Linked DNA regions of Stegostoma tigrinum. The protein of the gene in region 2 binds, or shares a complex with, the protein of the main gene of each other region. Links are inferred from orthologs where the notes say so. Each region holds a gene or a part of one and is shown on either strand. Other genes may lie near its edges.

Evidence for each region. Proteins that work in one complex are often made in the same cells at the same time.
Region 1: chtopa (region 2) and sarnp share a complex: the UniProt entries of both Homo sapiens proteins name them as parts of the transcription/export (TREX) complex. The link is inferred for Stegostoma tigrinum from reciprocal best matches to the Homo sapiens genes CHTOP and SARNP.
Region 3: chtopa (region 2) and thoc5 share a complex: the UniProt entries of both Homo sapiens proteins name them as parts of the transcription/export (TREX) complex. The link is inferred for Stegostoma tigrinum from reciprocal best matches to the Homo sapiens genes CHTOP and THOC5.

What each region holds. Positions count from the first base shown.
Region 1 is NC_081404.1:18,537,289-18,544,924, forward strand, and holds the start of sarnp (SAP domain-containing ribonucleoprotein), read left to right. Parts: upstream 1-4,572; 5' UTR 4,573-4,671; coding exon 4,672-4,710; intron 4,711-6,277; coding exon 6,278-6,377; intron 6,378-7,636. UniProt on the Homo sapiens protein: Binds both single-stranded and double-stranded DNA with higher affinity for the single-stranded form. Specifically binds to scaffold/matrix attachment region DNA. Also binds single-stranded RNA. Enhances RNA unwinding activity of DDX39A.
Region 2 is NC_081400.1:101,179-108,402, forward strand, and holds the start of chtopa (chromatin target of PRMT1a), read left to right. Parts: upstream 1-4,203; 5' UTR 4,204-4,567; coding exon 4,568-4,625; intron 4,626-7,224. Other genes in the region: gba1 (lysosomal acid glucosylceramidase), read right to left, coding at 1,010-1,201, 3,553-3,613. UniProt on the Homo sapiens protein: Plays an important role in the ligand-dependent activation of estrogen receptor target genes. May play a role in the silencing of fetal globin genes.
Region 3 is NC_081379.1:20,913,929-20,921,059, forward strand, and holds the start of thoc5 (THO complex subunit 5 homolog), read left to right. Parts: upstream 1-4,067; 5' UTR 4,068-4,143; coding exon 4,144-4,245; intron 4,246-4,826; coding exon 4,827-4,970; intron 4,971-7,131. UniProt on the Homo sapiens protein: Component of the THO subcomplex of the TREX complex which is thought to couple mRNA transcription, processing and nuclear export, and which specifically associates with spliced mRNA and not with unspliced pre-mRNA.

The DNA of each region.
Region 1 (7,636 bases), on a different chromosome or scaffold from region 2:
GGAGAACTTGGAGGTGGTGGTGTTCCCATATGTCTGATGTCTTTGTTCTTCTAGATGGAAGTGGTCATAGGTTTGGGGATGTCTGAGGATCTTTGGTGAATTTCTGCAGCACATCTTGTAGATAGTACACACTGCTGCGACTGAGTGTCGGTGGTGGAGGGAATGGATGTTTGTGAATGTAGTGCCAATCAAGTGGGCTGCTTTATCCTGGATGGTGTTGAGCTTCTTGAGTGTTGTTTGGGCTGCACCCATCTAGGCAAGCGGGGAGTATTCCATCACACTCCTGACTTGTGCCTTGTAGATGGTGGACAGACTTTGAGGAGACAGGAGGTGAGTTACTTGCTGCAGTATTCCTAGCTTCAGGCCTGCTCTTATAGCCAATGAAACACAACAAAAAGCACTCGCATTTATAAAGTGCTTTTTGTATACACAGGTCATTCCAAAGTACTTCACGGCCAATTAAATATTCTTGACGTGTAGTCATTGCTGTAACGTTGTAAACACAACAGCTAAATTGCACAGTAAAGGCTCACAAATATCCAGCAGATGTTGATTTGAGGATAAATATTTAATGAGGACATCAGGGGAACTCTCTAGTTCTTTATATTAGTACCAAGGGATCTTTTATGATCACCTAAGTGGGCAGATAGGACATTGAAAGACAGCAGCTTCAATACTGCAGCGAGCCATGCATTCATGTGAAGCTTAAATTGACAACCTCCTGACACAGGTGAGAGTGTACTGAGTCAAGGCTGACATTGGGCAGCAACCACATTGAGAAGTTCACAATATACTACATCTATTCTGAGGTGAAATTACAATATGTCAGGCATTGTGGCATTAGAAACCAGAATCCTCTCTGATTTTCCTCCTCCCCAGTGCAGGGAAATTGGCTAAGATCAGCTAGGACAGCTGCCACTTACAGTTTTAGCATTTAATACAGTAGCTCTCCAATGGTTTTGTGAGAAAATGCATAAAGGTACCACTTAAATATCTCTAGTAATGATAAGAAAGTTTGCATTAAGGCACTTTACCTAAATGCTTGTAGTATTCGCAACAAAGTAGGTGAATTAACAGCACAAATCATCTTGAATGATTATGATGGGTAGGCATCACAGAGACGTGTTTGCAGGGAGTTCAGGACTGGCGGTTAAACATCCAAGGATTTACAACTTATTGAAAAGACAGGGAGGTGGGCAGAGGGGGCGGGGTTGCCCTGTTAGTTAAGAATGAAATTAAATCTATGGCACTGAATGACATAGAGTCATATGATGTGGAGTCTGTGTGGGTGAAGTTGAGGAACCACAAAGGCAAAAAAACTATAATGGGAGTTATGTACAGGCCTCCTAACAGTGATCAGGACCAGGGGCACAAGATGCACCAGGAAATAGATAGGGCATGTCAGAAAGGCAAGGTCATGGTGATCATGGGGGACTTCTATATGCAGGTGGACTGGGTCAACAATGTTGCTGGTGGATCCAAAGAAAAGGAATTCATGGAATGCTTACAGGATGGCTTTTTGGAACAGCTTGTGATGGAGCTCACAAGGGAGCAGGCTTCCTCAACCAACGCCTCCTCTATTTATTCAGCCACTTCCCCCAGAACTCAAGGATGTAGCCCATCAGGGCTAGGAGATTTATGAATTTTTAGACCTTTTAGCTTTTCTAGCACTTTCTCTTTTGTAATGCCTACCGTACTCAACTCTGCCCCCGACTCTCCTTAATTGTTGGCATACTACTCATGTCTTTCACTGTGAAGACTGATGCAAAGTACTTATTAAGTTCTTCAGCTATTTCCTTATCTCCCATCACAAGCCTTCCAGCATCAGTTTGGAGCGGCCCAATATCTACTTTTGCCTCTCGTTTGTTTCTTATGTATTGAAAGAAGCTTTTACTATCATTTCTAATATTACTAGCTAGCCTACCTTCATATTTGATCCTCTCCTTCCTTATTGCTCTCTTTGTTATCCTCTGTTTGTTTTTGTAGCCTTCCCAATCTTCTGATTTCCCAGTGTTCTTGGCCACTTTATAGGCTGTCTCTTTTTCTTTGATATATTTCCTGACTTCCTTTGTCAGCCATGGCTGTCTAATCTCCCCCCCACCCCCGCCGGATAATCTTTCATTTCTTTGGGATGAACCTCTGTACTGTGTCCCCAATTTCACCCAGAAAGAGTTGAGTATGGTAGGCATTACAAAAGAGAAAGTGCTAGAAAAGCTAAAAGGTCTAAAAATTGATAAATCTCCTGGCCCCGATGGGCTACATCCTCGGGTTCTGAGGGAGGTGGCTGAGGAAATAGCGGAGGTGTTGGTTGTGATCTTTCAAAAGTCACTGGAGTCAGGGAAAGTCCCAGATGATTGGAAAATTGCTGTTGTAACCCCCTTGTTTAAGAAAGGATCAAGGCAAAAGATGGAAAATTACAGACCGATTAGCCTAACCTCGGTTGTTAGTAAAATTCTAGAATCCATCGTGAAGGATGAGATTTCTAAATTCCTGGAAATGCAGAGTCAGATTAGACAAGTCAGCATGGATTTAGTAAGGGGAGGTCATGCCTGACAAACCTGTTAGAATTCTTTGAAGAGGTAACAAGTAGGTTAGACCAGGGAAACCCAGTAGATGTTATCTATCTAGACTTCCAAAAGGCCTTTGATAAGGTGCCTCACGGGAGGCTGCTGAGTAAGGTGAGGGCTCATGATGTTTGAGGTGAGCTACTGGCATGGATTGAGGATTCGCTGTCTGACAGAAGGCAGAGAGTTCAGGTAAATGGCTCTTTTTCAGAATGGCAACCGGTAACAAGTGATGTCCCTCAGGGTTCATTGTTGGGGCCGCAGCTGTTCACTTTATATATTAATGATCTGGATGAAGGGACTGGGGACATTCTGGCGAAGTTTGCGAATGATACGAAGTTAGGTGGACAGGCAGGTAGTACTGAGGAGGTGGGGAGGCTGCAGGAAGATTTAGACAGTTTAGGTGAGTGGTCCAGGAAATGGCTGATGAAATTCAACGTGAGCAAATGCGAGGTGTTGTACTTTGGAAAAAAGAATACGGGCATTGACTATTTTCTAAATGGTGAGAAAATTCATAAAGCCGAAGTACAAAGGGATCTGGGAATGCTAGTCCAGGATTCTCTAAAGGTTAACTTACAGGTTGAGTCTGTGATTAAGAAAGCGAATGTAATATTGTCACTTATCTCAAGAGGGTTGGAATATAAAAGCGGCGATGTGCTTCTGAGACTTTATAAAGCTCTAGTTAGGTCCCATTTAGAATACTTGTTCCAATTTTGGGCCCCACATGTCAGGAAGGACATACTGGCGCTGGAGCATGTCCAGCAGAGATTCACATGGATGATCCCTGGAACGGTAGGTTTAACGGACAATGAATGGCTGAGGATCCTGGGATTGTATTCATTGGAGTTTAGAAGGTTGAGGGGAGATCTAATAGAAACTTACAGGATAATGTATGGTTTAGAAAGGGTGGACGCTAGGAAGTTGTTTCCATTAGGTGGGGAGACTAGGACCCATGGGCACAGCCTTAGAATTAGAGGGGGTCAATTTAGAACGGAAATGAGGAAACATTTCTTCAGCCAGAGAGTGGTGGGCCTGTAGAATTCAATGCCATGGAGCGCAGTGGAGGCCGGGATGTTAAATGTCTTTAAAGCAGAGATTGATAAATTCTTGATCTCATAAGGCAGTAAGGGCTACGGGGAGAGTGCAGGGAAGTGGAGTTGAAATCAGCCATGATTAAATGGCGGAGTGGACTTGATGGGCCGAATGGCCTTACTTCCACTCCTGTGTCTTATGGTCTTATGACCAAATGGTCCCAGTATTAACCCCAGCTTGTAATGAGTTGTTTGACCTCAGATAGCGAAGTACTGGGTTAAAATTGGCCTCACCAGCCCGAAGCAACGGAGGGAGGTATCAGTCAGAGTTGCTCCCTTTGATCACTCTCCAGTGAACTGTGGTAGGGAATAGGTTTGGACAGTACATAAGGACAAGATTAAGCTTCGTTCCGAAGCCCACAGGTTCCAAGTGCTGATACTCATGCATTAAGAATTCAGCTTCAAACTTTTATCCAGTTCAGAAGTGGTAACTCAATTAAAAACATCGCCAAATGTTCTCACAAGACTGGTCCACTTGCAAACGTAAATGTACAACAGGTCTGCACACGTACAATCTTTACAAAAAAAACACGACAGGCTGTTTGGTAAAAGGTTTTCCTTTCTGTGCTTGCCATTTCCACAATTTTCTGTTCATTGACACAAATAAACAAAGATGAATGGATTAGCAATTGCAGAAACAGCTCTCCTTTCTGATATTCATCCTTGAAGATTACTGAATATCTGGTGGTTATTCCGATGAAGATGGCCACCAAACCACTCACTGGCAAGAGTCGCGTATGATAATTTTCCATAGGATTTATTGTCATCGCTCTCACCATAATTGTGCATAATTTTAAAATTTCAATCTAACTAGTATTTGCTGTTAAACGTTGGGCAATATATTTGTAAGTTTTTGCTGTATTAATTTATTTCTTTTTTCTCCTTATTCCGATAGTAACGGCATATTGAACACACCCACCCCTGTCTCTTTTGAGCCAATGGTGAGGTAGCTTGTTGATCAGTGAGTAAGGCGGATGCCTATTGGATAGGTGGTGAGCGGGTAAGAGTCTGGCAAGATGGCGGACAGAACGGCGGTGGATATCAGCAAATTGAAGGTAAAGGGAGTTTAGATAGGGATAATGTGTTCGCCGTTAGAGCGAAGGTTTTGTGATTTAGTGACTATTACGTACTTCACTTTTTCTGTTCCGATTCTGCTCAGAAATTCTCCTCTGGAGACCCGTAGAGTGGGCTATATTTTCCCTCCTCTTGAAGGTGGGGTTGCTTTTTCCTCCCCGTGCTAGTCTAACATTCTTCGAACGTTTTAAGCAGCTTAGTCGTGTGGGACGTGTTTTGAGTGTCACATTGAAAGGAAACGAATAAGTTTCCGGAATGGCCGATTAACTAAGTGCACCGCCCATGGATCACATAGAAATAGGAAACCGTGCCCCCGCACGGTTATTTGGTCTGAACTGGGGCTGTTTGTTCCGTTCTAAAGATATTTCAAATGGGTTATGGCTCCACGAACATCTGAACAAGTGGACGAAACGTTTAAGAAAAGCAGTCTTTTTTTAAAAATGCTGTAACTAAGGAAGCTGTATAAAAGCTAACTTGCACAAACCGTTGCTTGATCCACTGCTAAACCATCTTTCTGGGTGCTTAAAATGTACATTGAAGGCAAAATTCTGTAGATTCGCACTCATAGAAGTTGGGGAAATTTATAACGCAGGACGCAGAAATTGGAGCAAAGAACTTGAGCCATTTTGAAAGTTTTATTTTAAATTGGCACTGGATCCTAGTGTTATGAGTCAGAAAAGGCTACCCTATCGTTGCACAATTGATGGGTTGTCAATTTTAAATTCCCATAAGGAGAACAGTACTGGGATTACTTTGGGATAGGTAACTGATTGTGAGAAGAAAGTGAAGTTACTGGAATGGTTTTGGATTGATTCAGCTAAGAACTAGCATAAATGTGAAAAGGAAAGATGTGAAATTCATGTTGATTTTCAAAGAATGTGGGGCTGATTTGTACAAGGAGTGTAGAAAGTTGAAATGCATGTACAGCAAGCAATTAAGAATGCAAGTGGCATGTCCTTTTATTATTTGAGGATTGGAGTGCAGCAAACAAATCCTTGCTTTAATTGAACATGGTTTTGAAACAAGGTATGTGCAGTTTAATTTCCATTTTTAAGGGAGATTATACTTGTGTGCAGAGGCAGTACAGCAAAGGTTCACTAAATCAGTCATGGGGATGAGGGGATTGTCCTGTATTGAGACTGAATAGTTTGGGCAATGTTTACCAGAGTTGAAAAGAATGAAAGGCGCTGTCATTGAAAGGTACAAGATCCTGAGTAGACTCTGGGTAGACAGATTATTTTCACTGATTGGGGAGCCAAAAACATGGTGGCTTACTTTCTGGATAAGAGAGTAACTACTTGGGGCTAGCTGAGGAGAAATTGCTTCACTTGAAGGATTGTGAAGGTTTGTGGATAGATGGATTTTTGATGCCTTGGAATCAAGGGAATGGGGAGCGACCAGGAAAGGGAGTTGAAGCCAAAGATCAACCGCATTGTAATGAATGAAGCAGGCTGACCCAGCCATGTAGTCCACTCCAATTTCCTGAATCCTTTCTTTACTGAAAACCTCCATGGTTCTGACTATTTGTTTGTTCTCATTGTGCTTTAGTTGACTGAACTGAGACAAGAATGTGCTTCACGGGAGCTGGATACTAAAGGAAACAAGCAAGATCTCATCCAGAGACTGCAGGCTTACCTGGAAGAACATGGTAAAATCATGATGGATATTTAATCTCAAACAATTTATTTTTAATAAATAAAATTACTTAGGAATTTATGAAGAGTTGTGGATTTCTTTCATTACCATACATATGCTGACTTTGGCACATTTAAGATTGTATTTTACAAATTATTACATAGAATTCAGAATAATAAATTAGCTGAGTGCTGGATGAAACAGTTGCCATTACAGGTAATTGTCTTTGTTAGAGAGTCAGAGATTATACAGCAGAGAAACAAGTCCTTTGGTTCAACTTGTCTCAATGACCAGATATCCGAAACTGATCTAGTCCCATATGCTTGCATTTGGCCCATTCCCCGCTTAAACATTTCCTATTCATATACCCACCCAGATGTCTTTTTAAAATATTGTAATTGTTCCAGCCTCCTCCACCTCTTGTGGCAGCCTGTTCCATCCATGCTCCACCCTCTGTTGCCTCTTCAGTCCCTTTTAAATCTTTCCCCTCACCTTAAACCTATGCCCTGTAGTTTTAGACTCCCCCACCCTGGGAAAAAGACCTTGTCTATTTGCCCTATCTATGCCCCACATGATTTTATAAACCTCAGCCAGTGCTCTGGGGGAAAAGCGCCAGCCTGTGTCAGTTGATCAGAGTGCTTGAGTTGCATCCTTATGTTATTTGATTACCACTTTTTTGAGAGTCTTAAATTTTGTGCTTTAGTTTTGCTGTAATTTCAACAATTACTGTAGTTAACTGATTAATTGCTATCTTTTCCCTTCAACTTGAAGTTGACTTTTTTTTGCAGATGTGTATCTAGTTGCGCCTTGAGCAATGTGCACACCCCCTCTGATTCAGGTTTTTGGAAACAAAATAGGTGCACTGTGTGTGTAGATTAAATAAATCTACGTATTCCACGGAAGTGGTTCACTTCTGTCTATCAAACGAGTGAAAGGCAAGTTTAGGACTTTGCGATAATAATTGACATCACAAATTGGCATTCATTTATGATAGTTAATGCAAATATTTTGAAATTAATTGACTTGTAGAAGCAGTTGGAGACTTTCATTGAAAATACCTCCACACTTATTTAGAATGTTCTAAAGTAGGCCAAGATACTTCCCTGTACTGTATTCATCTTGTCCTTGTGTCGTGTAGTGCCAGGCATTCAGATTAGACTGCAATTTCAGTACCTGATCTCTGTTGAAAATTACCACTTATAATTCAGGTTTACAGGCTTTTTAAAACTTTTTTTGGTTTAACCTTCAGTTTGCTATATGTGATTCTTTTCC
Region 2 (7,224 bases):
ATGGTTTGCGACTGGGAGGTGCAGTTGTTTATTGCGAACCAAGCGGAGGTGTTCTGCAAAGTGGTCCCCAAGCCTCCGCTTGGTTTCCCCAATGTAGAGGAGGCCACACCGGGTACAGTGGATACAGTATACCACATTGGTAGATGTGCAGGTGAGCCTCTGCTTAATATGGAAAGTCATCTTGGGGCCTGGGATAGGGGTGAGGGAGGAGGTGTGGGGGCAAGTGTAGCATTTCCTGCGGTTGCAGGGGAAGGTGCCGGGTGTGGTGGGGTTTGAGGGCAACGTGGAGCGAACAAGGGAGTCACGGAGAGAGTGGTCTCTCCGGAAAGCAGACAAGGGTGGGGATGGATAAATGTCTTGGGTGGTGGGGTCGGATTGTAGATGGCGGAAGTGTCGGAGGATGATGCGTTGTATCCGGAGGTTGGTGGGGTGGTGTGTGAAAACGAGGGGGATCCTCTTTGGGCGGTTGTGGCGGGGGCGGGGTGTGAGGGATGTGTTGCGGGAGACGCGGTCAAGGGCGTTCTCGACCACTGCGGTCCTTGAAGAACTTGGACATCTGGGATGTGCGGGAGTGAAATGCCTTATCGTGGGAGCAGATGTGGCGAAGGAATTGGAAATAGGGATGGAATTTTTGCAGGAGGGTGGGTGGGAGGAGGTGTATTCTAGGTAGCTGTTTTTGGTCTCCAAGTCCCAGGTTCAAATTGATTGGCTAAATTAAAAATCTTGTTGTCTTGATAAACTGCTGCTTGGCCTGCTAACTGTGTAGCTTTTCAATACAAATGTTTCATGTTGGGAGCTGTCTATGTACTTGCAAACTTTTGAGCTGCTGCTCACAGACATTCCTTTTAAAGTACTAAGCATAGGAAAAGCACATGATCTTTTAAAGGGACCACTCCATGCTTTTCCCTCTAGCATTTTACAAATACCAAATTCTAACTTCATGCCTGCTAATCCTCAAGTACTCCACCCAACTTCGCAACACATGATAAGCAGCAACTGCAAACCTTACCTTGTTGTTTGGTGTTTGTGAGGATTTTTCCTGTTTTGTGTTCAAGCCGCTTACCAGCTTTAGTGGTTTCATACAAAACATAATGGCCTTTCTTTGGCAACCGCAGTGGATCAACTGTATCGCAGTATGTCGCATTGCAAATACAAACCACCGAGCTACCCCCAAAACTCCTGGCATCACATGGTTTACCAGCTGAAAAGAGAAGCAAAAACTGTTAAAACAATATCAGAGATAATGGGAACTGCAGATGCTGGAGAATTCCAAGATAATAAAATGTGAGGCTGGATAACACAGCAGGCCAAGCAGCATCTCAGGAGCACAAAAGCTTATCAGAGATAATGGGAACTGCAGATGCTGGAGAATTCCAAGATAATAAAATGTGAGGCTGGATTTTCAGAGATAATGGGAACTGCAGATTTGTGCTCCTGAGATGCTGCTTGTGTTCATCCAGCCTCACATTTTATTAACTGTTAAAACAATGCTGTGTGGGGAACTGGACGAACACAGCAGGCTAAACAGCATCAGAGGAGCAGGATGGCTGACGTTTCGGGCCAAGACCCTTCCTGCTCCTCTGATGCTGTTTAGCCTGCTGTGTTCGTCGAGCTCTATACCTTGTTATCTCAGATTCTCCAGCATCTGCAGTTCCTGCTATCTCCAGAACAATACTCTGACCCATTTTCATCCCTTCTTACACTTTGAAGGTGCTAACTTTCACTGAGGTAATGTTCCAGGCACTGGTGACACTTTGGTACATGATTCAAATAGTAATTTATCAGATGAGATTTAACAGATTTTACAATTATAATTGACAACGGGTATATTTCAAAACCTCACTTAGAGCCTTGGGTTGAAACTTGTAGAAAACAGGAAAATGTGACAGTGATCCAATAGGGAGTATCCTTGAAAAAAAATGAACTACAAACAGGAGTAGACCAACAAGCCCAATCCACTATTCACGCAGATGCAAGTGACTTGGACAGGCTAGGTGAGTGGACGGATGCATGGGAGATGCACTTTAATGTGGATAAATGTGTGGCTATACACTTTGGTGGCAAGAACAGGAAGGCAGATTACTATCTCAATGGAGTCAAGTTAGGTAAAGGGGAAACACGAGATCTAGGTGTTCTTGTACATCAGTCAATGAAAGCAAGCAAGCAGGTACAGCAGGCAGTGAAGAAAGCTAATAGCATGCTGGCCTTCATAACAAGAGGAATTGAGTACAGGGGCAAAGAGGTCCTTCGGCAGCTGTACAGGGCCCTGGTGAGACCACACCTGGAGCATTGTGTGCAGTTTCGGTCTCCAAATTTGAGGAAGGACAGTCTTGCTATTTGAGGGAGTGCAGCGTAGGTTCACGAGGCCAATTCCCGGAATGGTGGGACTATCATACGTTGAAAGATTGGAGTGACTGGCCTCGTATACTCTTGAGTTTAGAAGGATGAGAGGGGATCTGTTTGAGGTGTATAAGATTATTAAGGGATTGGACACTCTGGAGGCAGGAAGCATGTTTCCGCTGATGGGTGAGTCCAGAACCAGAGGACACAGTTTAAAAATAAGGGGTAGGCCATTTAGAACAGAGTTGAGGAAAAACTTCTTCACCCAGAGAGTGGTGGATATATGGAATGCTCTGCCCCAGAAGGCAGTGGAGGCCAACTCTCTGGATACTTTCAAGAAAGAGATGGATAGAGCTCTTAAAGATAGTGGAATCAAGGATTATGGGGATAAGGCAGGAACAGGATATTGATTGTGGATGATCATCCACGATCATAGGGCAGAATGGCCTACTCCTGCACCTATTACCTATTGTCTGATCTGATTACTCCACATTCCCACCAATCATGATAAATTTTCACATTTGCTCGACAGGAATCTATTGACATCTGCCTCAAAAATATTCAACACCTTTTGAGGGAGAACTTTAATAACTCTCAATACTCTGAGAAAAAAAAATTGTCTCTTCTCCCATCGTCCTAGATTCTTTGGAATAGGAAACATCCTCTCCACAAACACCCTTTCAAGACTCCTCAGCATCTCCCAATGATGTCTGATCTCCTGGATGAAAAGCTATCCCATATGGTTTATCTGACTGCTAGGAACAGGTTCAGGCGTGTGCAGACTGGGAAATGAGCACAAGATCATGTAACGTGCAGGATCTGCCAGCCCAGAGCAGAAGATATAATGACAATTTCTGAAAATCTGTTCATATAGGTTATGGCCATTTTCAGGTCCTGTACTGCTGAGAAATTCTGCATTCCTATTAGATCAGGTCAGATGCAACAAGTCCACAGGTTTCAATCCTCAGTATTTAATGCAATTTTTGATGCCAAGATGGATTTGGCATTGTGAACTAACATCCCAGTGAAACTAACCCTAACCCAAAGTGAGTTGGACCTACACCAGTCTACAGGAGCAGCTGAGCAGGCTAGTTTAAAAGAAACAACCTGTTTCTTGCAGACTGTTTCCAATCTGGTTGCTGAACAAGACTCAGTGCCTGCACTAATCTGTGAAACATAACTCTCAGCTCCACTTACATTACAATTCCTCACCTGAGACTGGAAGGATTGTCCAGAAAGGCAGAAAACACAAACAGAACCAAACTGTGGACATCCTGGAGGAGGAAACTGCTCCAGTTTCTCCTTGTTAGTTTCTTCAATACCTTGCTGTATCCTAATTGAACAAAAAGATACAGGGAAAAATGTTAAATATATAATCCAAATCCAGGTCTTTGATTATGTTTAATACAGAGATAGCTGGACTCTTGTTAGTAATGGGAACAAGGGTTATGATGAAAGGGCAGGAGAATAGGGTTGAGTTACATATCAGCCATGATTGAATGGTGGAGCAGACTCGACGGATGTCTTAACGGTGTAAAACTACTGTTATGGTTTTACAGTGTACAGCCAGGCATAAGGAACTACCAGGAGTAAGACTGGGCAATGTTTAGATTGACTATCCTTCATTCCTGAGTGGACTGGTAGCATTTGTTGTAAATATCACCAGGTTATTGCCCTAAAGCGTGATCTAAAAGCTTTCAGAGTGCAGTGCCTGAGCCAGTGGTGTTCTGTCAGAAGTGGCAGACTGAGGCGGCGCAGCGTAGTCAGAGGATCAGTACTGAGCAATGGGCGCCCTCAGCGCTGACCCCTCCCCTCCCCTCCCCTCCCCGACAGCGCCCGCTCCCTCGGCGCTGACCCCCCGCCGACAGCGCCCGCTCCCTCGGCGCTGTGTCTAACATTAGAACCAGTAGGAACTGCCGATGCTGGAGAATCCGAGGTAACAAGGTGTAGAGCTGGATGAACACAACAGGCCAAGCAGCATCAGAGGAGCAGGAAGGCTGACGTTTCGGGCCGAGACATCAGCTTGCCTGCTGTGTTCATCCAGCTTCCCACCGCCTCTAACATAATCGGAGCGAGACGAACCCTTCATCAGCGAGAGCCAGCCCGCCATCCCACGTGACCAAACACGGCATCACGTCCCCCACGTGACCGAGTCTGTTCGCCGCCGCTGCCTCCCACGTGATCCCCCCTCTTGCCCAGGACTGGCACTGATTTCTGTCTTGGCCGCATGGATTCTGCTGTTCAGCTCCGCCAGCGGCAGTATGGCTCGGCTCTGCCAGTACCAGGTAAGGGGCTAAGGCCGCCTGCTGTAACTCATCTCTCCTGTGGGTCTTTCGTCCCTGGCTGACGATGCTCAGGGTGCTTCGGCCTGTAGCGGTGGACTCCGCCTGGTGAAAGCCGCCCTCAATTCCAGGCCCGTATCGAGGGTTCGGGGGATGGGGGTGGACTTGCTGGCTGGGCCTGTGTTTATTGGCCTCTCTAACTGCTCCTTGCGGAAGTGCGCTAGATGTTGTCTGTTGTAATATCGGCACTCTGACAGGAAGCACCGAGGAGCTGATCGTGTTAAATAGTGCAAGGCTGCAGGAAGATAAAACACAGGGCTGAGTGCAGGGAATCCTTGTGAATGAATCTCAAAAAAATTTAACTTAGAACATTGGAGGATGGCAATTTAAGTCTAGCGAGACCCCTCCACCGTTCAATACAGTCATGGTTGAATTTCTCCTTTGCTTCATAACGCATTATCCTATTACTTATTCTGAGTAATACAGTTCTGAGGAAGGGTCCCCGGAACCGAAACATTAACAGCTTATTTTTTCTCTCCACGGATTGTGCCAGACCTGCTGAGCTTTTCCGGCAACTTCTGTTTTTGTTCCTGATTCGCAGCATCTGCAGTTCTTTCGGTTTCCAGTTAAAAATCTTTCTGCCTTCTCCTTAAAGTACTCAGTGACCTGGCATCCGATGCACTCCCCGTGACCGAATTCCATAGATCCGCCACCTCAAAAACAAATGAATAACCGTTGTAGGCGCAGCATAGATCTATTTGTGTGCTAAACACCATGTTAATACAGGTCTTAAAAACTGAAGAACTGTGGATGTTGTAAATCAGAAACAAAACCAGAAATTACAGGAAAACCTCAGCAGGTCTGGCAGCATCTGTAGAGTGAAATCAGAGTTAACGCTTCCGGCTCAGTGACTCTTTTTCAAAACATTTTTCAAAACTTATCTAAGCAATTGAGGCCATCCAGAGAAGTTCACTAGACTGATGTGAGGTCTGAAGCACTTTGTTATGAGAAGAAGTTGAGTAGACTAGCCCCAATGTGACCTTATTAGGATAGATGTGGAAAGGTTGTCTCCTCTTGACCAAATGTGTGATCCCTTATTCTGAGATCATACCATTTAAGAGAGAAATGAAGGGGAATTTCTTGAGAATTGTGAATCTGTGGAATTCCTCCCCACAAAGGCTATTGAGGCTGGATCATTAAGCATATTTGAGATTGAGGTTGACAGATTTTTAATTGGTAAGGGAATAGAGAGTTTGTGGGTGAAGAAAGCAGAAAAGTGGAGTTGTGGATTAACAGATCAGCCGTGATTTCATTGAATGGTAGAACAGAACTCTGGACTGAATGACCTACTTGTCTTCTAGTCTTACCTAACTCTCATATCACCTTATGAGTTAAGGGCGAACAGATTTCTTGAATTGCTGTAGGTAGGCTTTCAATGTGGTTAAGGATTTTGACCCAGTATCACTGAAGGAATGGGAATATATTTCCATATCAGCATGGTGGGTGAACTTGCTCGTGGTGCTCCCATGTGTCTGCTGCCCTTGTCATTCCACATGGAAGCAGTTGTGGGTTTGAAACCAGTTATGTTATACGAGGATCATATCTGTTATTTGTAATATTTGTAAATGATCTGGGTGGACATGTAGGTGGTCTGATTGCTAAGCTTGTAGACAACATGAAAATTAGTTGAGTTGTGAAAAGTAAGGAACGTTGTCAAACGATACAGCATTTCTGAAGAAGGTTCTCAGCCCAAAAGTCAGCATTCCTGCTCCTCTGCTGCTTGGCCTGCTGTGTTCATCCAGCTCTATACCTTGTTATCACAGCACAATATAGGTCAGTTGAAAAGTTGAGTGGAGTGATGGCAGATGGATTTGAACCTGGTCAAATGAATTGATACATTCTGAGAGGTCAAATGCAAGACGACAGTATACAGTAAATGGCAAGATCCTTGGGAGCATTGATATACAGAGGGATCTTGGGGTGCAAATCCATAACTCCCTGAAAGGGGCAACACAAGGGCCTCAGTAAGATAACAAGGTGTAGAGCTGGATGAACACAGCAGGCCGAGCAGGAAGGCTGATGTTTTGGGCCCGAAACGTCAGCCTTCCTGCTCCTCTGATTCTGCTTGGCCTGCTGTGTTCATCCAGCTCTACACCTTGTTATCACAGATTCTTCAGCATCTGCAGTTCCTATTATCTCTGCCTCAGTAAGAGTATGGCATGCTCCAGAAGATTATGGGCCAAATGCAGGCAAATGGGGCTACTTTAGTTTAGGATACCTGGTCAGCGTGGATGAGATGGACCGAAGAGTCTGTTTCTGTTCTGTATGACTATGCTTTCTAAGGATCTTTGGTGATTTACTTTAGTGCATCAATGCACTACTGAGTATTGGGGGGTGGAGGCAATGATTGTTTCTGGCTGTGGTGCCAATTAAGCAGGCTGCTTTGCCCTGGATGATGTCAGTTTCTTGAGTGTTACCTTTATCCAGGCAAATGACAAGTGTTCCACCACACTCCTGACTTGTGCCTTATAAATGGTGGACTGGTTTTAGGAAGATGGGAAGTGAGTTCCTCACGTAATGTTCAGTGATGATGTGCCATTGA
Region 3 (7,131 bases), on a different chromosome or scaffold from region 2:
TCCTAAATACTTCACTATCACATCCTTTATAATGGGCTGTAATACTTTCTCAATTACAGATGTTAAGTTAACTGGCTTCTAGTTACACTTTTTTTTTGTCTCCTTTCCCTTCTAAAAAAAAGTGATACAATGGCAGTTTTTGATTCCTCTGCAACTTTTCCAGAATTTTAATGCTTTTTCATAGATTACTACCAGTGCATCAACTATCTCTGCACCTACTTCCTTTACCATTCTAGGAGGTAACCCATCAGATTCAGGGGACATATCAGCCTTTAGCCCCATTAATGTCCATAGACCTTTTCTTGAGTAATGATAGTTAATGTATTTATATCTTCTCCTCCCTCTGACCTTGATTATTTAGTACTTTTGTAATACAATTAGTCTCTTCTGCTGTGAAGACTTATACAAATTATTTAATCGACTCCTTTGCTACTCTTTGGTTCATGTTATTTCCCGAGCCTCATTCTCTAAGGAACAAATGTTCATCCAGTTATAGAGCCACACAGCATGGAAACAGACCCTTTGGTCTAACCAGTGCACATGTCCCAACATGTCCCCAAACTAATCTAGACCCACCCATCTATGCTTGGCCCATATCCCTCCAAACCTTTCCTACTCATGAACTCATCCAAAAGTATGTTAAACATTGTAACTGTACTTGTATCCACCACTGGCAGTTCATTCCACACACAAACCACTATCTGTGTAAAAAAGTTACACCTCATGTCCATTTTTAAATCCTTCTCCTCTCATCTTAAAAATATGTCCCTTAGTTTTGAACTCCCCCACCCGTGGAAAAGACCCTTGTCATTCACCTTATCAATGTGCCTCATGATTTGTAAACCTCAATAAGGTCACCATTTTGGCTTTTCACTTCCTTCTTATACATTTAAAGAAGCTCTTATGATCTGTTTTGACATTACATGCTAGTTTACCTCCAAAGCTTATTTTGTCTCTCATTTGTTCTTGATCATCTTTGTTGGTAATTAAAACCTAACCAATCCTCTAATTTCCCACTAATCCTTACCACATTGTAGCTTTTAAATCTGAAATTACCCTTTATTGGTTAACTACTTATTATTAGGTACAATACAGTATAATTGGCTCCACCATGAGCAATTGATGCGGTCTTTACATATTAAGTAGTTAAGTTCTTTTGTTAGCTTTGTGTCAAGCTCACCCCTTGTTCCTACTGCTGAAATCCTCATTCATATTTTGGTTAGCTGTTGCCCGTGTGTTAAATCAAACAAAATCCTTTTGCTTGCTGACCTACATTAGCTCCTTGTCAAAGAACATTGTTTGTAAAATTATAATCCTTGCCTTCAATTCCTCCATGGCCTCTGTAATCTCCTCCAGCCATACAATCTTTCAAGTTATCTGCACTCACCTAAATGCAGCTTCTTGACCATCCCCAATTCTAATTGCTTCACGGTTGTGGCTACACTTCAGACACCTCAGGCCTGTTGTATGAAATTTTCACTCTCTGCCTTGAAAACTCCCTTAAAACCTATCTCTTTGATCAAGGTTTTGTTTGTTTCATTTAATGTAGTTATGTATCATACTCTGAATTATACTTATCCATTGAACAGCCTTGGCACATTTTATCATTAGAGGTGCTAGATAAATGTAAGTAGTCAATGTCAAAAGTAATATTAACATTGTATACTTCACAGAGGATAATCAAACGTCCCAAATTTTATGCTTCTTCCCTATATTCCAGGCAATTGTCCTGTGTCTGAGGTTGATTGCTATCAATTTGGATCCAATTCAGTGGTTGAGACATAAAACCCAGAATAACTTTATTTTTGTTTAATCAGCCTGCTTAAACATGTAATGGCATAGTTCCTTAGGTAGGATGTGAACTCAGAGTTTCTGACCGCAAGGTAACCACTGTGGCACATTATCACTGCACTACAAGTGGCACGTGGTCTTCTTGTTGCTCCCCTTTTAAGTAAAAACTGACAGTGCTGGGGAAACTCATAAGGTCTGCCTGGATCTGCAGACAGACAATGAGAGTTCGAGTATCAATTCTGATGTGATTCTTCAGCAGAACTCTTCAGGCCCTCTTTTAAACATTTGCAGAACCCAGCCCCCACCCACTCCCACAGGATGTCCACGTTCTTCAAGGACCGCAACTTTCCCCCCCACAGTGGTCGAGAACACCCTTGACCACGTCTCCTGTATTTCCCGCAACACATCCCTCACACCCCACCCCCACAACAACCGCCCCAAGAGGATTCCCCTCGTTCTCACATACCACCCCACCAAACTCCGGATACAACGCATCGTCCTCCGACACTTCCACCATCTACAATCTGACCCCACCACCCAAGACATTTTTCCATCCCCACCCTTGTCTGCCTTCCGGAGAGACCACTCTCTCCGTGACTCCCTTGTCCGCTCCACACTCCCCTCCAACCCCACCACACCCGGCATCTTCCCCTGCAACCGCAGGAAGTGCTACACTTGCCCCCACACCTCACCCACATCCCAGGTCCCAAGATGACCTTCCACATTAAGCAGATGTCCACCTGCACATCTGCCAATGTGGTTTACTGTATCCATGGTACCCGGTGTGGCTTCCTCTACATTGGAGAAACCAAGCAGAGGCTTGGGGACCGCTTTGCAGAACACCTCCGCTCGGTTCACAATAAACAACCGCACCTCCCAGTCGCCAACCATTTTAACTCCCCCTCCCATTCCTCAGACGACATGTCCATAATGGGCCTCCTGCAGTGCCACAATGATGCCACCCGAAGGTTGCAAGAACAGCAACTCATATTCTGCTTGGGAACCCTGCAGCCCAATGGTATCAATGTGGACTTCACAAGCTTCAAAATCTCCCCTTCCCCCACTGCATCCCAAAACCAGGCCAGTTCTTCCCCTCCCCCCACCGCATCACAAAACCAGCCCAGCTCGTCCCCTCCACCCACTGCATCCCAAAACCAGTCCAGCCTGTCTCCGCTTCCCTAACCTGCTCTTCCTCTCACCCATCCCTTCCTCCCACCTCAAGCCGCACCTCCATTTCCTACCTACTAACCTTATCCCGCCTCCTTGACCTGTCCCCTCTCCACCTATCTTCTTTTCTCTCCATCTTCGGTCCTCCTCCCCCTCTCTCCCTATTTATTTCAGAACCCTCTCCCCATCCCCCTTTTCTGATGAAGGGTCTAGGCCCGAAACGTCAGCTTTTGTGCTCCTAAGATGCTGCTCGGCCTGCTGTGTTCATCCAGCCTCACATTTTGTTGTCTTATGCCTGAATATCACTTGGCTTTACTCTACTTCATAAGGAATCACACATGCAGGTTTTTCTTTTAGTTTCCTTTTATGAAGTGAATAATGTCGTTCTGAAAAAGGGTCAACTGGACCCGAAACCTTTCCTGCCTTATCTCCGTAGATGCTACCCGACCTACTGTGTTTCTCCAGCAATTACAGTAAACTGTGTGCAGAGTCTAACTTCTGAGTTTTACCTGCTATTGAAAAATTGGTATAATTAAAAATGTATGGTAGTTCATTAAAATTAATGCCAGTGGTTACTTTAACAGTTTATTCTTCCAGAGATTTTGCACTTGTTAAAAGGAATCCTAATCCCAGTGAGTGAACCAAAGTCAGTAACTGTATTTTTCCAGTGCGTAAGAGTCACACAAAACAAAGAAAAACTACACGCAATTCCTGACACTGTCCAGAAATACAATTTTATCCCTTGTACGCTGCTGATTAGTTTACCTCAATCGCCCTCAACAGGCAGGGAGGACTCTTCCCTCACTGCGAAAACAGCGCCCCCGGCAGTTGGGGAGGATTCCATTCCATCCATTGGTGCAGAAACAGCGCCCCCGGCAGTTGGGGAGGATTCCATTCCATCCATTGGTGCAGAAACAGCGCCCCCGGCAGTTGGGGAGGATTCCATTACATCCATTGGTGCAGAAACAGCGCCCCCGGCAGTTGGGGAGGATTCCATTCCATCCATTGGTGCAGAAACAGCGCCCCCGGCAGGTGGGGAGGGTCCCATTTCGTCCATTGGTGCAGAAACAGCGCCCCCGGCAGGTGAGGAGGTATAGTTTTCCCATTTCTTCCGCCTGGACCCCCGCCTCTCCTGTGGAAAGAGTTTCTCGGTCACTGTCCGATTGCTGGGGCCGGAAAGTTGTAATGTCCGCTGATTCGGCGAAGAAGCGAAAAACCAAAGTGATTCGGAGTGATGGCGGAACGGTGGAGAAGGAGAGCAGAAAGGCTCGGGGTGATGGAGACCAGGTGGGGAGAGGCTGAATCCGATGAGGCTAGGGTGCCGAGGCCTAGCCCGGCCCGACCTGTCCAGGCCAACACATTGAGCTGTTTGTTCACATACAATAAGCAGAAGGGGAGCCTAATCCCTCCTGACAGATACCTTGTTCCCCTGTGTAGGAATGACTGAACGTGAAGGGATATGAGAGCGCGAACATTTTATTTTATTGGACTTTTACCCGAAATTTCTGTTGAAACTGGTTGTGTTTGGGCTAAAGAGTATCTCAGTATCCTGTTGTCCTTTGAAAGTTGAAGTTAAAAGATAAATCTCCGCATCTGGAATTTTTTTTAATTTTAGGAGATATAATTTCAGTCTCGAGTGCTGGTATAATCAGCTGAACCGGACTAAAGTTGATTCAGTGTTTGAGCAGAAACCACAAATTTAAGAATCCTTCCTGATGTTATGTCCAACCCTTTCACATTTTATAATTCCTATTTGGCAATGTCACTTATTTAGCCACCTCAATGTACATCAGTAGTCATTATCAGTTACTGTTAATTGTTTGTAATTTCTATAAAACTGTAAAATACATGTATGTGTTCTTTATTAGGAGAGTAAAGTTTATAGTGAAGAGGCGGAAGTGGAGACACGAGACCCTGCTAAAGACTATGATATGTACAAGAAAACCTGTGAGGATCTCCAAAGGTTGATGGCTGAGATTCATGAATTAAAGAGTAAAGGAGGAAAAGATGCTGTAAGTGGCACTGAATTTATTTAAGTGAAAAAAAATCAAACACTGTGCTGAAAATCTCAGCTGAAAGTAGAAATTACTGGAAATTCTAAATCTGGAGTAGCTATGGTTAGAAGAAGAGAGGTAATGTTTCAGGCTGATAATCTTTCACCAGAGTTGATAGATCATTGAGCTGAAATGTCAACTCTTCCCTCAATTCAAGGATGCTGCCAGACTGCTGAGTATGTACAGCATGTTCTGTTTTTATTTACATTTTAATCTTTTTCCCCAGGTAAGTAGCAAGAGCAGTGAATCGCACATTCACGTCTATATTGTTTTTAAAACTTACTATAATTCAATTTGGTAGTCTAATATAGTTCCTAACTGGCCTTAGATGTTAAAACTAGACGGGCTGTAAAGGAATGAGAAGGCAGGTCAGTAAAGGCGGCACGGTGGCTCAGTGGTTAGCACTGCAGCCTCACAGCGCCGGGATCCGTGTTCGATTCCAGCTTCGGGTAACTGTCTGTGCAGAGTTTGCACATTCTCCCCGTGTCTGCATGGGTTTCCTCCGGGTGCTCCGGTTTCCTCCCACAATCCAAAGACATGCAAGCTAGGTGGATCGGCCATGTTAAATTTCCCGTAGTGTTAAGGGGTGTGTGGGTTATAGGGGGATGGGTCTGGGTGGGATGCTCCAAGGGGCGGTGTGGACTTGTTGGGCCAAAGGGCCTGTTTCCACACTGTAGGGAATCTAATCTAATCTAAAGGGTTGGGTATTTAACACCTGATGCTTGCTGAACTGCTGCTGGAAGAAATTTTAAGAACTATGGACATAATACAGAATAGTATTGTATGTATTTTTTGGATGTCATAATTTTGCTTCTGTGTTTTTATCTGTAAATAAAAATTGAATAATGGTGTAACAGAGTGATGTGGCCTGCTGTCAGAAGAGATAGTAAAATGAAGGAAATGTCTTGGGTATTTTCTCATGGTAAGCTGACTCCTTGAACCACTGCAGTTCCTCTGATACAGATATAGCTGCAGAGCTGTTGGAGAAGCAGTTCCAGGATGTTGACCCAGCAAAAGAATGATAAGGTATTGCAGCAGGTGTATGCCATATGGCCTATTGAGTCTGATCTGCATCGACTATATGAACTAGGCACAAGAATAGGCTACAGATCCTGCTCTACCATTCGATAAGGTTATGGCTGATCTAATTTTAACCTCAACTTTGCATTCTTGCATACCCTGGATAATCCTTCTTTCCCTTGGTAATCAATCTGCCATTCGATGAGATCATGGCAGAGCTGCCACTCCTGAACTGCACTTCCCCCATAACCCTTGATTCCCTTACTGATTAAAATTTTGTCTATCTCTGCTTTGCACATTCTTAACAACCTAGCCTCTGTGGTAAAGAATACCACAGATTAAACATTTTCTGAGAGAAAAGATTTCTTCACATCTCTGTCCTAAATGAGCAGCCCCTTGCTCTGACATTATGAGCAATGATATTTTTCTGGAGCAGCGATGTGTTTCCAAAACATCATGGTGAGTGATTTGGAAGATAATCTGTAAGTGGTGATGTTTCCATGTATCTGCTGTCCCGGTTTCTAAATGTTCAAGGTTGTAGGTTTGGAGACAAATGCTGTTAAAGGAGTGTTGATTTGCTGCAGTGCACCTTGTAAATAGTATACATTGCTTTCACTGCACATCGTTGGTGGAGGGAGTGATTGTCTAAGGTATTAACAGTGGTGTCAGTCAAGTAGGCTGCTTTGTCCTGGATGATGTTAAGCTTCTTGAGTGTTGTTGGAGCAGCACCATTTCAGGCAAATGGTGTCCTTTGAGAGTTTTCATTTATACCTTGTGCACGATGACAGACATTGGGGAGACAGATGGGTTACTTGTTGCAGAATTCCCTGTTCTCATAGCCACAATATAAACATTGATGGCAGGTCCAGTTCAGCATGTGGGCCTTGGTAACCCTCTGGATACTCGTAACCTACAAACCTTTGACTCAGCGATGACAATGTGGCTAACTGTGCCATGTTCACACTTTGAGGAGCTGTTAGCTGAAGATGTAAATGAAAATTAATCAAATATAATTGAAAAATCAGTAATAGGAAGAACTTCTTTATATAATTTGAGCTGACTTAATTGGGACAAAAATATTAGCATTGTTTATAATGTC